3 linked regions of the Cricetulus griseus genome follow. The protein of the gene in region 3 purifies or fractionates together with the protein of the main gene of each other region. This does not show direct contact. Links are inferred from orthologs where the notes say so. Each region holds a gene or a part of one and is shown on either strand. Other genes may lie near its edges. The genes, in order: Hnrnpm, Kpna6 and Lmna.

Region 1 (3,644 bases), on a different chromosome or scaffold from region 3:
GTTTCAGCAGTTTTCTGTGTGTTTAGCAGGCTAACAGTCCTACCATTTCTTAAGTATTATATTTTCTGGGTAAGGCACCGGGAATGGTCTTCTGAGTTTAATTCCTATAGTCATGTGTCACACACTGTGATTTTAAAAAGATGAAAACCCAGGGCAAGCTTAAGGCAAGGAGATGGGGCCTCCTCAAACCATGTCTACTCATAAGACACAAAGAGTCCATAAGGGATAAATTAAAAGCCCCAGTTCTTGTAAGTGATCCATTTCCTAAACTCCTCTAAAAACACCAGAAAAGACCATTCACAGCATCTGTCTATGATGCAGCCACACCGTCTATCCATTCTGTTTCACTCCATAAAATGTTCAGATTCTTTAATAATTTATTCACTCTAGTCACAGAGAAAATACAGTTATTTCTACCTTATTACTATAATATACTTAGGACTATGTTTGCCATGAGCTTAACTCCCACAGAAGGATACATATAGCTTGGACAGCTTCAATGGACTGTTCGAAAGTCACAGTGCCTATTCCACGACTTTTCCCATCTTTATCTTCCAGAATGTCTGCTCGGACCACCACACCAGCCATACTAAATACTTCCTTCAGTTTCTTCCAGCCAACTTTATAATCCAGCTAGGTGAAAGAAGAGAGTAAAACCTCAAGGTAAGCCTTTTGGGGGTGTGGGGGGGAGATGTGTTTTTATCATATTAACAAGTCTTGCTTTGGCTTACTTCACAAGAAAAATCAACTTTAGTAGAATTTTCAAGTATGATTGCAGAGCCTGCCCTTAACCCTGCTATTTACTATCTGTCTTAAACGGTACAGCTTAAGTCTCCTCATATTTACGAAACTAACACTCCACATCCATAAAAAAAAAAAAAAAAGTCAGCCAGGCAGTGGGGAGCACACACTTTTAATCCTAGCACTCAGGAGGTAGAGGCAGGTCTACAGGGTGAGTTCCAGGACAGCCAGAGCTACCTAGAGACACTCTGTCTCTAAATACAACAAATAAAAGAAAAAAAAAAAAAAGCCACCCCACCCCTTTTAAGTCTTAGCAACACTTCTGAAACCACTTTGTTCTGAAAGTATTTGTCCTTGCAGAAGATAAAGATATCATCATTCACCCCAGACACAACAAACAGCTGGGAATAAACTGTTCACTCTTACCCTGTACCAAAACTACACTACATAAACCCCAATAAGGCTGCAAACCCAGCTAGTACTTTTTCAAACATCTGAAAAGCTCAGTAAACAAGACCCCAGTAGGACTGAGGTCAATCCTGAAGCTAAAATTGCAGTAGTCAGAAGAGAACAAAGCCCAACCCAAAGGCCTACTTTAAAATAAAAACAAGCTATCTTAAGCTTACTACTACTTTAAATCACTTGTATAATAGAGACAAGATCAGTCTAAAAAGTTGTCTATTTTAAAACTTTTTTCCCTCTATGCATACTGTTTTCACATTATTTCCACCCTCCCATTTTTTTTTTTTTTCTATTTTAGAGAATGTTCCCATTTACTTACATTTGCTACAAATACTGTGCTTCCAAGTCTTCCAGCCTGTAATGCATGGATAATCTCATTTGGGATGTTAGGATTATTTAGGATACTGGGTGGGATATTAATCATTCCTGGGCCACCTGGTCCCATACCCATCCCACCAGTCGTAGCCATCACCTTTTGCATTGCTCTCCTTGCATGTTCACCATCAGGATCCTGAAAGAAGCACAAAATGTTACAGCCAGAAGTTGGTTAGAAGTAGGCTTGCAGAGACTAGTTGGAACTGCAGCCTTCACCACTGCAGAGGCTCTTTTCTGCTGGGGTACATTCAGTGACAATAGTGTTCCCATAGTATTTACAAGTGCAACCCCCAGCATCAATAATTTACAAAAATAAAATTTTAAAAGGACTCTCAGTGAAACCATGGTAGCAGTGCTGGAAAAAAAATCTGTAACCTCAACACTCAGGATTGTTAAAGCAGTTCAAGGCCTGCTTGAGCTACAGATCCAACTCAAAGCCAGCTTAGGCAAGCTAAGTGAATCCTTGTCTCAAAATAAAAGAGGAAAAAAAAAAAAAAAAAAAAAAAAAAAAAAAAAACAAAAAACAAAAAACAAAAAAAAAACAAAACTTCAGGTGGGACTCTGTTACAGTCCAGTCTGATGCCTCTGGCAGTGAACTCAATAAGTCTGTCTTCTTAAAGTCAGATGATACAACTTAGTGGCAGAGCTTATCAAGCGGTAAAGTCTGTACCAGGCGCTTCCATTTCCAACACTGAATAAAAACAAAACAAGCCAACAGAAAACGTGCAAAGACCAACCAAGATTAACAAGGTGAAATAAATCATAGCAACCCAAGAGTTGTAGGAAGAGCAACAGCTCAGAAACAAAGAACATAAAGATCAAAAGCTGAAAACAATCTTCAATTTAACGAAAATGAAAAGCTAGGGGAAATGAAAGGTTTGGCTGGCCTGAGTTGAAAATTCCAGATTGAAAAAAGATCTTCAGGCATGGATGAGTCCTAGTGTAATTTGTGTTAAACTCAATGATTTTTCAAAAAGTTTGAAATCACAGTTCTATAATCCCAGGTTTCCCAAAACCTCTCAAGGGCACCTGGTGGTGGCGTTCAAGTATAGTTAATACAGTGTATTGGCACCTGTACAAAATTACGGAAATCTGATGCTGGAGTGATTATCTTATTTGTGTCTATGTGTCCTTATAGGGGTATATGGCACATGTATGTGTGGACATGCTAAGACAAGACAGAAGAGGCACCATATTCCTTGGAGTTAGAGTTACACAGGTGGTTGTGAGCATTTGTACTTGGTGCTGGGAATCAAATGCAGACTCTCTGGGAAAGCAGCAAGGGTTCCTAACCCACTAAAAACCATCTTTCCAGCCCGACATAATTCCTGAACCCTGCTTCATCAATTAACTAGCAACACATAAGAAATGCCGTATACCCCACCATGCATTCCTTTAAGTCCCAAATAAGTTGTCTTCCTTCTAAAAAGAAAAGGTCAGGAAGGGTGGCACCTGCTTTTAATCTCAGAACTCAGGCAGTTAAAGGCAGATGATCTGGTTATAAGCTAGCCTGGCCTACACAGAACAGATATGTTCTCAAGACACCTATACCGCTCCCCTCCCCCAACACATACATAGTCAATGAGGTAAGTAATATTGGCAGTAGCATTAACAAAACATCACCCTAGAGAATAAAAAAGTACTGGAAGTCAGGAACATAGTTCAGTGACAGAAAGCTTGCCTAGTATGCAAAAAGCTCTGGGTTCAATCTTTGGAACCACAAAACAAACAAAAACAACAAAAGAAACTTGGTTTGGATTTGATAAAGAAAGATGAGTAATAAACTCATTTTACAAAATTCAAAGAGGGATAGGGAGATGGCTCAGTGGGTAAAGTGAGCAAGCCTTAGTACCCATCCTCAGCCATCCACATAAAAGCTGGGGTCCTGCAGCATGCTTGTGTCACAGTGCTGAAGGGAATGGGAAATGAAAATCTCTGGCGTTCACTGGCCTACCAGTCTAGTTTCAACAGTGAGCCCCAAGTTCAGTGAGAACACCCATCTCAAAAACTAAGGTGGAGAGTGATAGAGGAAGACTCTCAACATGCACCACTAGCATGAATATCTT
Region 2 (4,306 bases), on a different chromosome or scaffold from region 3:
AGAAGAGTGCTGATCATATAGATGCATCAGCTATTTCTATCATAGCTTTCCTCCAGCTGTCTTGTCTGAAACTCTCACTTTGGTAAAACTAGTAAACTAGTAAACTGGTAAATCTTTTTGTTTGTTTATTTTTCGAGACAGAGTTTCTTTGTGAAATAGTCCTGGCAACTCATTCTGTAGACCAGACAGACTGTCCTCAAACTCACAGAGATCTGATTGCCCCTGCCTCCCAAGTAATGGTATTAAAGTGTGTACCATCAACTTCTGGTAGCAAATAATCTTTAAAAAGCCAGAAAGGCAGCTTTAAATAAGAAAGTTTCTTCCACAAGTTCCCCATACTTCCCTTCACATCTAAGCAGCCTAATCAACCACTGCCTAGGACAACAGAACTACAAAGACCTGTTGAGAGTTTATATTAATCAAGATCCACCCTGGATTTTGGAAGAGAATGACAAATTCCCGTTAGCAGGATGGTGGGAATGGTGATTAGATAGCCAGCACCCACTAGAATTCAAATGGTTGAGGTCTTTGCTAGAAATCAAGAGCAAAGGAACATCTATAGTTTCCTCACCAACACAGACAGTGGAATCACTAACAAAGGTCTATTAAGTGAGTAGTGAAGTATAACATATAGGCCCTGGGAGAGTATATGTAAAGAGGCAAAAGAGCAGACTCTGGGTAAAGACCGGCTATATGATAACCAGTACCCAATGGGCCTCGATTACTAGCCTTGCACTAGTTACCTAATCTTCTCAAAGCACCAATTCACTGTTGTAATGGAGATTACCCAAACTACCTAGGATTACACACTGTGATTAAATATATCCTTACTTTAGTTTGATCACTGAAGTTAAGCGGGAAGTCACCTGGCTTGATATACTAAAAATTCTTTCTGGGACTTTGGTCAGGTCTTGCTCTTGTGCTGAAGAACTTTCACATTCTAACAAGAAAAAAAAAAAAAAAAAAAAGATACCTCACTTAACACCCCCCCCCTTTTGTTTTTCTCAATACAGGGTTTCTCTATGTAGCCCTGGCTGTCCTGGAACTCACTCTGTAGACCAGGCTGGCCTTGAACTCAGAGATCCTCCTGCCTCTGAAGTGACAGTGTGTGCTACCACCTCCCGGCTCCACCTTAAATTTTAGAGGCTGATATGCAGTAAAATGTGGAAGAATCTCATTCCTGGAGGCTGTTTATTAGCTATGTTATCTTCTTTGAGATTGTTCTCAATCTGTAAAAATGAATCTAGATTACCTCTTGCCTTCCAGGGCTCCAGTTGCTCCTAGATCTTTCTTAAACTTTCTACAAGGTTCTGGAGGGGAAAGAACGGCTATTACTGAAGGTGGGGAAGAATGCCACGTTATTTATAGAGCTGGCTAGGCTCTGCACACTCCCTTTCTAGAGATGAGAAAGCTCAGAAACGGAGGGATACTGTTCTGTTGTACACTGTGCTAGACACCTTCTCTATGCAATTCTGTTTGTAAATTAAGTAAGAGGATGAGGTGTGAGAAGTGTCAGGCCAGTTCAGATTTGAAAATCACAGGCAGGGAAAATAATTTGTGTTCCCTTAGGATCAGGAATCATAAGAAATTTCAGAAGTGCATTGAGGTGCTTCTCTTAAAGTTGGTGGGGGTCAGCAATTCACCCTGAACCCTTTGAGTTTCATTCAGACTAAAGGTTTCAAACTGGACCCCTAACAAAATACCTTCACAACTTTATGTAGGGTTAAAACGGTCCCTTCCTTCCTTCAGCCCACCACTAGGGGGCCAAAGCATAAAAAGCAGTTAAATCCTAGAGCTCAGGAGTGATCACCCTGTTTTAATCACTGTGTGACCTTGGATAAGTTACTTTACCACTCTAAGCCTCAGTGTCCCCATCTGTAAAATAGGAACAACAACAGCAACCACTCCACTAGGTTGGAATTAGGCTAAACAAGACACATTAAGCGCTGACAACAATGTCTGCACATACAGATTAGCAAAGTTCTTACTTTACTGATGGCAATAAATTACCAGTGCTGGTTTTGTTTCTGAATTCAAAGACTTCACCATCGTACTCTTTTGGGCAGGGGCCTTCGTATCCAGAGTCCTCTTTTTTAAAAAAAGATCAACAGGTCTCTCTTTTCCTGCTAACCAACCAGAGTTGGTCCAGAAACCTCCAATCTCTGGCCTGCCTATGCCAAGAAGTCTTGGCGTTGGGCTCTCTAAACACTACGAAGCCTGTCACCGAGGCAAGCCGAACTGGGGCATTTTCCCGGCCTTCCAAGGCCCGGGCTGCGCTGGACCCGGCCTGCCCTTGGTTACCGGTCGGGAGCCGGCCTGCCCCGCGCCTCCTCTCCAGGGGCTCTCCCCGCTACGTGGGCAGGTAGGGCTTCACCTCGCTCCGGAGCGCGTCGGCCCAGTGCCCGCGGGGACGGGCTCCCCGTGGCGGCGGCCGGGCCTGCCGCCCGAGCCCGCTCCCAGCTCCCCGGCAGGCAGGCAGGCAGGCAGGCAGGCTGGCGCAGGGCGAGGGCAGGGCCCTGCCTTCCCCCGCGGACGCGCGAGCTCGGGCCCGAGGCCACCACGTGGGGACACCGGGGGCGCCGGGCATCCGGAACCAGCCCCGGGAGCGGCTCCCCGTGCGGCCCTGCGCCGGCCCTGCACTGGCCTGAGGGGCACTCCCGACCCGATTTCTCCTCCCGTACCTATCGGGACGCTTCCGACATCTCCTTCAGACGAGAGACAGGCCCTCGCAGACCCCGATCCCCAAGACCTCAGCCCGAGCACCCATCTGCGAGCTGCCTCACTCACCCATCGCGGCTCCGCTCGCTCAGACTTGGCGGCGGCCGCAGCTGTGGCTTCAGCGGCAGCTTCGGCAGACAATATGGCGGACCTGCAGGACGGCGGCCTGACAGGGACAAACATTTTATACCGTACTAAACGCGTTCTCAACCCTCACGCCCCTTTCCCTCCTGGAGATGACAGGGTGAGCAGGCGTTTAAAGAAGAAGGCAGCTGGGCGTTGGTGGTTTAATCCCAGCACTCGGGAGGCAGAGGCAGGTGGATCTCTGTGAATTCGAGGCCAGCCTTGTCTATAGAGAGTTCCAGGACAGCCTCCAAAGACAGAGAAATCCTGTCTCGAAAAACCAAGGAAAAAAAACAAACAACAAAAAAACAAAAAACCTAAAATAAGGCCCCAGAAGGCAGCCACTCCAGGTGTCAATCAGGGAAGGAATAGACAGGCTTAAGGGGACTACAAAGAATATATACTGAACAATGTACCAAGTTCTCAACTTTTCCTGTTTTTATTTCTTCTTTATGGTGAGGCCTCCTTTCCCAGAAAGACACCCCTTCTTTTTATAATTAAGGCCATATAGAACTGAATAAGGATCGTCTAGAGAGGGGAAGTGACTTGTTCAAGGCTATGGAGATAAGGAAAAGGAGTCAAGATTAGACTGGAGTTTGTTTCTCATTTTTGTTCACTGGAGACAGGGTTTCACTATATGCCTCTGGGTGACCTGTACCTCTCTATAGACCAGGCAGACAGCAGACTCAGAGTCACCTACCTGTGCCTCTCAAGCACTGGGATGAAAGGCTCCAGACCTTTATTTTATTTTGTTTGTGTGAGACAGGGTTGGGGGTGTCCCAGGCTGTCCTCTGATAAGTAGATAAGGATGACTTTGAACTCCAGATCTCCTGCTTCCACCTCCCAGTGTTGAGCTCACAGGTGTGCACTATCGCACCAAGAGGAGTTTAAAAGATTCTCCAGCGAGAGGGTGTGTGTGTGTGTGTGTGTGTGTGTGTTTGGCAGAGTACACTAACCTCACGAGTTAGAGTAAGGGTCAGTTCTGTATTGCTTAACACCATGGCCACCACCTGGGTTATGACTACTGAATGAATAAAGAAAAAAGAAATTCACAAGTTAGTGAGCTCCCTTTCCTAGCGATGAGGAAATTAAAGCTTTTGCCTTCTGAATCAAGGAATGCTGGGCTGATACCTAGTGCCACACACAGAGCTGGGGTTATGGCCAATCTTTAGTCTCCATCTTTTGTAAGGAGAAAGAAGACTCTTGTATCTGGACCTTAGGGCCTATCACAAATTGCCAAGTCTACCCAAATGCCTGGCCAATGAAGGGAAAAAACTCAACAGGAGGAAAAGAAATACTCAAGTAAAATGTATCATGCTAACTTGACTCCTTACCTCACACATCTCCAGGCCCAATTGTCCCCCCCCCCCCGCCCCATCTGCTTTAAAACCATAGACATTAAGTACCAGAGAAATGGCAGCAGGTAAAAGTACTTACTGCACAAGCCTGATGACCCACCAGAGCT
Region 3 (3,893 bases):
AGTGGAACCAGGAGGGGCTTGACCTCTCTCAGCCATCCCCTCTGCACCCCCTTTCTCTGCAGCCGGCGTGGCAGTGGGCCAGCTGTCTGGAGGAGGCTGATGAAGAGAACTCCACGCCTGCCTCTCAGGCACCATGTCACAGGGTGCTGGGATAAGCGCAAGGCCAAGGCAGCAGGACAAAAACTAGCCGTTATAAAAGCAGTCCTTTCCCTGGGCTCCTTGGAGAAAGAAGCCCATTGATTTTAAGGCAGATACAGGGAAAGTATGGGAAGGACTTAGGATTGAGATAGAGACTTTTTTTTTTGCTTGTGTTTTTCCTTCAGTATAAAACCACTGTAGAAAATAACTTCTCTTAGAAAAAAAAATAGAAGAAGAAGAAAAAAAACCCAAAGGCAGGAAATAAATTTTTTCTTTGGCTTCAGGCCTGCTCCCATTAGGTGCAGAGCAGGAGGTGGGCATGAGGTGAGGTGGGAGCAGGTGGCCTCTGGCCCCACCCCTGCCTGGCAGGTCCCAGATTACATGATGCTGCAGTTCTGGGAGCTCTAAGAGAGAAGAGAATGCAGAGATGTGAGCGAGCACAGTGGCTGGCCCATCCTTTCCCTCCCTGACCCCAAAGGGGTGTGTGTCCCCCCAACCCTCACCCTCTGGCTCTGGCCCTGCCCTCAAGTCTGGGGTTCAGACAGGAGGGGCAGGGTGTAAGAGGGGCTACAAGGAGGAGGGTCCCACTCCCGTGGCCTGCCCTGCCCTGCTGCTTAGTGAGCAGTGTCCTGCTGTAGGGGTAGATGCAGATCGATGATGACTTACCTGGGTCCGGGGACTGGAGTTGCCCAGGAGGTAGGAGCGGGTGACTAGGCTGTCCCCGAAGCTGCCACCCCCACTGCCCCCCACACTGCGGTAGCTTCGAGTGACTGTGACACTGGAGGCAGAAGAGCCAGAGGAGATGGATCCGCCCACCTGGGCTCCTGAGCCACTGGCAGCCTTGTCGGCAGGCTGCCCACAAGTCCCACACAGCACGGTGCGTGAGCGCAGGTTGTACTCAGCGGGGTCCCCCGAGCTGCTGCAGTGGGAGCCCTGGGAAGGGAGACAAGGCTCAGGAGGGACAGTGCGTCTGGGACTGACTGCTTAGGACCAGGCTCTGGGCTCCTATAGTTTCCTGGCCATTGGGCAGGAAGATGACCTCTGTACCCAGACAGCTGGAGTGAATAGGGACTTGGGAGGCCTGTGGCTAGGAGGAAGGACATGACAGGGGAAAATGGCCAGGAAGGCTTCGAGATGGAGAGGTGTGGCTTTCACACTGTCCTGAATCCTAGGATCTCACAGGGAAATTGGGAGGGAGATCAGAGATGGAGATATTTAATTTGTGAGGGAGGGGACAGGAATGAGAGAAATCACTGTTGCCGGGAAATAAGGGGAACGTGAGAAGAAGCATGCAGCAGATGAAGAAGAGACAGCAGAGGAATGCATGCAGGGAGGGGAGAGGCAGGGCTGGGGCCATCTCTGTCCTCCCATCCCCTTCCCAGGAGACAAATCCAGATCCTTGTCCACTGCCACCGTGGAACAGTCCTTGGCACCAGAAAGTTCCCACTCCCTTCCTTACCAGACACCTGGGTTCCCTGTTCAAGGTAGAGGGAGGAGAGAGAAGAAAGGCCAGGGCAGCAAGTGGCATTCCAAAACATTCTTTAATGAAAAGACCTTTGGCATAGAGGTGGGGGAGCTGCCCTAGGCTGGTAGGGCTACCCATGTGGGCTGGGTCTCAGCGGCGGCCGCCACTCACGTGGTGGTGATGGAGCAGTTCATCTCCATCCTCATCCTCATCGTCCTCAACCATGGTCACTGAGCGCACCAGCTTGCGCATGGCCACTTCCTATGGGAACATAGGCCCAGGCCCAAGAGTCAGGGGGTGGGGGCCATGCAGCCTGTCTACCCATAGTACCTTCCCAGAACCCTCTATAACCACCTAGAACCTTCCCAGGCTCTGCCCTAACCGGCTGTTTGCTCTGACCTCTAACACTGGAGTCAAGGAGTGTGCTTGTGCACACATATAGAAAGGACACCCCTGGGAGATCAGCTCTCTTTAGGCCGAGTCTGCAGCTAACAACATTCACTGGCTGATTTCCACCCATTACCCTGCTGGGGAGACTTCTAGCTTGCTTACTGGGTGGGCACTTGGAACGTGATTCAAGGTTGCATTGGGTTGAGGGCAGCTGACTCTCATTATGGCCACCAGGGGGAGCCTGGTCCAGGCTGCAACATACTCACTTCTCCAGTGGAGTTGATGAGAGCTGTACGAAGGCTGTTCCCACAGCCCCAGGTGTTCTGTGCCTTCCACACCAAGTCAGTAGGGGGGCTATGGGTGGCCCCAGCTCCTGCAGCCCAGATCTGGGAAAAGACAGTTTAAGAAGTGTGTTTATTCTTAACGCTCCTGTCCAGAGGCCAACTTCTCCACTCCAGAATCCCAAACACCCTTCCACTCACCGTCACCACCTGCCCAGCCTTTAGAGTGAACTTTGGTGGGAAGCGATATGTCATCAAGGGGTCATCACCATTCTGACGCTTGATCTGCCAGTTTCCCATGGACTGGTCCTGCCAGTGAGGGAGGGAGGAGAACGGGAGACTCAACCCGGTACTTTTTTTTTTTTCTATTTTTTCATTTAAATTAGAAACAAGCTTGTTTTACATGTCAATCCCAGTTCCTTCTAACTCCCCTGCCCCCCACTAACTCCCTAACCCATCCCCTTTCTGCTCCCCGGGGAGGATGAGGCCTTCCATGGGGGGGGGGGGAGAATCTTCAAAGTCTGTCTTCAACCTGGTACTTATCTCACAAAAGAGCCGGGGTAGGCCAGATGCCATAGTGTACACCTGTAGTCCCAGCTACTACAGATTTTGGTACTGAGGCATGGGGACAGGGGGAATAGCTTGATCCAAAAAATAAAAAATAAAAAATAACAACAACAACAAAAACCAGGTCTGCCACCACCATCTCTGGTATTCAAACCTACTAGCCTCTCTACCCTATCCCTCAAGGGTCCTACTGTGGCTGTGTGAACATGTATACTGTGCCACACACACTGGTATCTTCCATCTTCCCAACAATTTTAGAGATGTAGGGACTGTCACACTCCAAATTCCCAGAGAGATGGATGCTCCATGAGAACCAATGTCGCCCAGCTATTGAATGCAAGACTCTGATCCTGAGGCCCACCTCGTTGGACTTGTTGCGCAGCCGCACAAACTTTCCCTCCTCATCTACTTCCTCCACAGCCACCCGCCCGCTAGTGCGAGCGTGCTGTGAGAAGCTGCTCCGGCTCTCAGTGGACTCCAGCTTGCGCTTTTTGGTGACGCTGCCCCCACCCTGCGATTGGGATGAGTGAGAAGAGGTGCGGCCACGGCTGCGCTGCGAGGTAGGGCTGGGGGACAGGCGTAGCCTGGGAAGGTGGAGACAAGGTGGGGGGTTAGTCATGGTAGTTGCAGTCCAGAGGCTCCTGCCAACGTCTTTCGACCCCTCCTGGCTCACCTCTCCTCCTCGCCCTCCAGCAGCTTTCTATAGGCATGGATCTCCATGTCCAGGGCCAGCTTGATGTCCAGCAACTCCTGATACTCATCGAGCTGCTGCTGCATCCTCGCCCGCATCTCGGCCATCTCTCGCTCTTTTTCAGCCAGCAGCCGCCGGCTAGTATCCCGCTCTCGAGCCAGGGAGTCCTCCAGGTCACGCAGCTTTGCCTCCTTGGCTGCCAACTGGGATGGGTGGGAAAGGCAAGGTGTGATGAGCGCCCAAGGGCCAAAAGTAATGAAGAAGGGGGGGCAGGATCTGTGGGCTCTCCTTAGAAACACCATGGCAAGCCAGGTGGTGGTGCCGCATGCCTTTAATCCCAGCACACGGGAGGCAGAGGCAG

What was found.
Region 1: the proteins of Lmna (region 3) and Hnrnpm fractionate together in Homo sapiens (co-fractionation; 3 studies listed by BioGRID, with this or other methods). This does not show direct contact. The link is inferred for Cricetulus griseus from reciprocal best matches to the Homo sapiens genes LMNA and HNRNPM.
Region 2: the proteins of Lmna (region 3) and Kpna6 purify together in Homo sapiens (affinity purification with mass spectrometry; 4 studies listed by BioGRID and IntAct, with this or other methods). This does not show direct contact. The link is inferred for Cricetulus griseus from reciprocal best matches to the Homo sapiens genes LMNA and KPNA6.

The regions. Positions count from the first base shown.
Region 1 is NC_048598.1:95,296,899-95,300,542, reverse strand, and holds part of Hnrnpm (heterogeneous nuclear ribonucleoprotein M), read right to left. Parts: intron 1,715-3,644; coding exon 1,523-1,714; intron 634-1,522; coding exon 480-633; intron 1-479. UniProt on the Homo sapiens protein: Pre-mRNA binding protein in vivo, binds avidly to poly(G) and poly(U) RNA homopolymers in vitro. Involved in splicing.
Region 2 is NC_048595.1:23,349,047-23,353,352, reverse strand, and holds the start of Kpna6 (importin subunit alpha-7), read right to left. Parts: upstream 2,917-4,306; 5' UTR 2,902-2,916; coding exon 2,682-2,901; intron 1-2,681. UniProt on the Homo sapiens protein: Functions in nuclear protein import as an adapter protein for nuclear receptor KPNB1. Binds specifically and directly to substrates containing either a simple or bipartite NLS motif.
Region 3 is NW_023276806.1:66,025,626-66,029,518, reverse strand, and holds the end of Lmna (lamin), read right to left. Parts: intron 3,736-3,893; coding exon 3,515-3,735; intron 3,426-3,514; coding exon 3,203-3,425; intron 2,584-3,202; coding exon 2,476-2,583; intron 2,380-2,475; coding exon 2,260-2,379; intron 1,865-2,259; coding exon 1,775-1,864; intron 1,072-1,774; coding exon 805-1,071; intron 543-804; coding exon 516-542; downstream 1-515.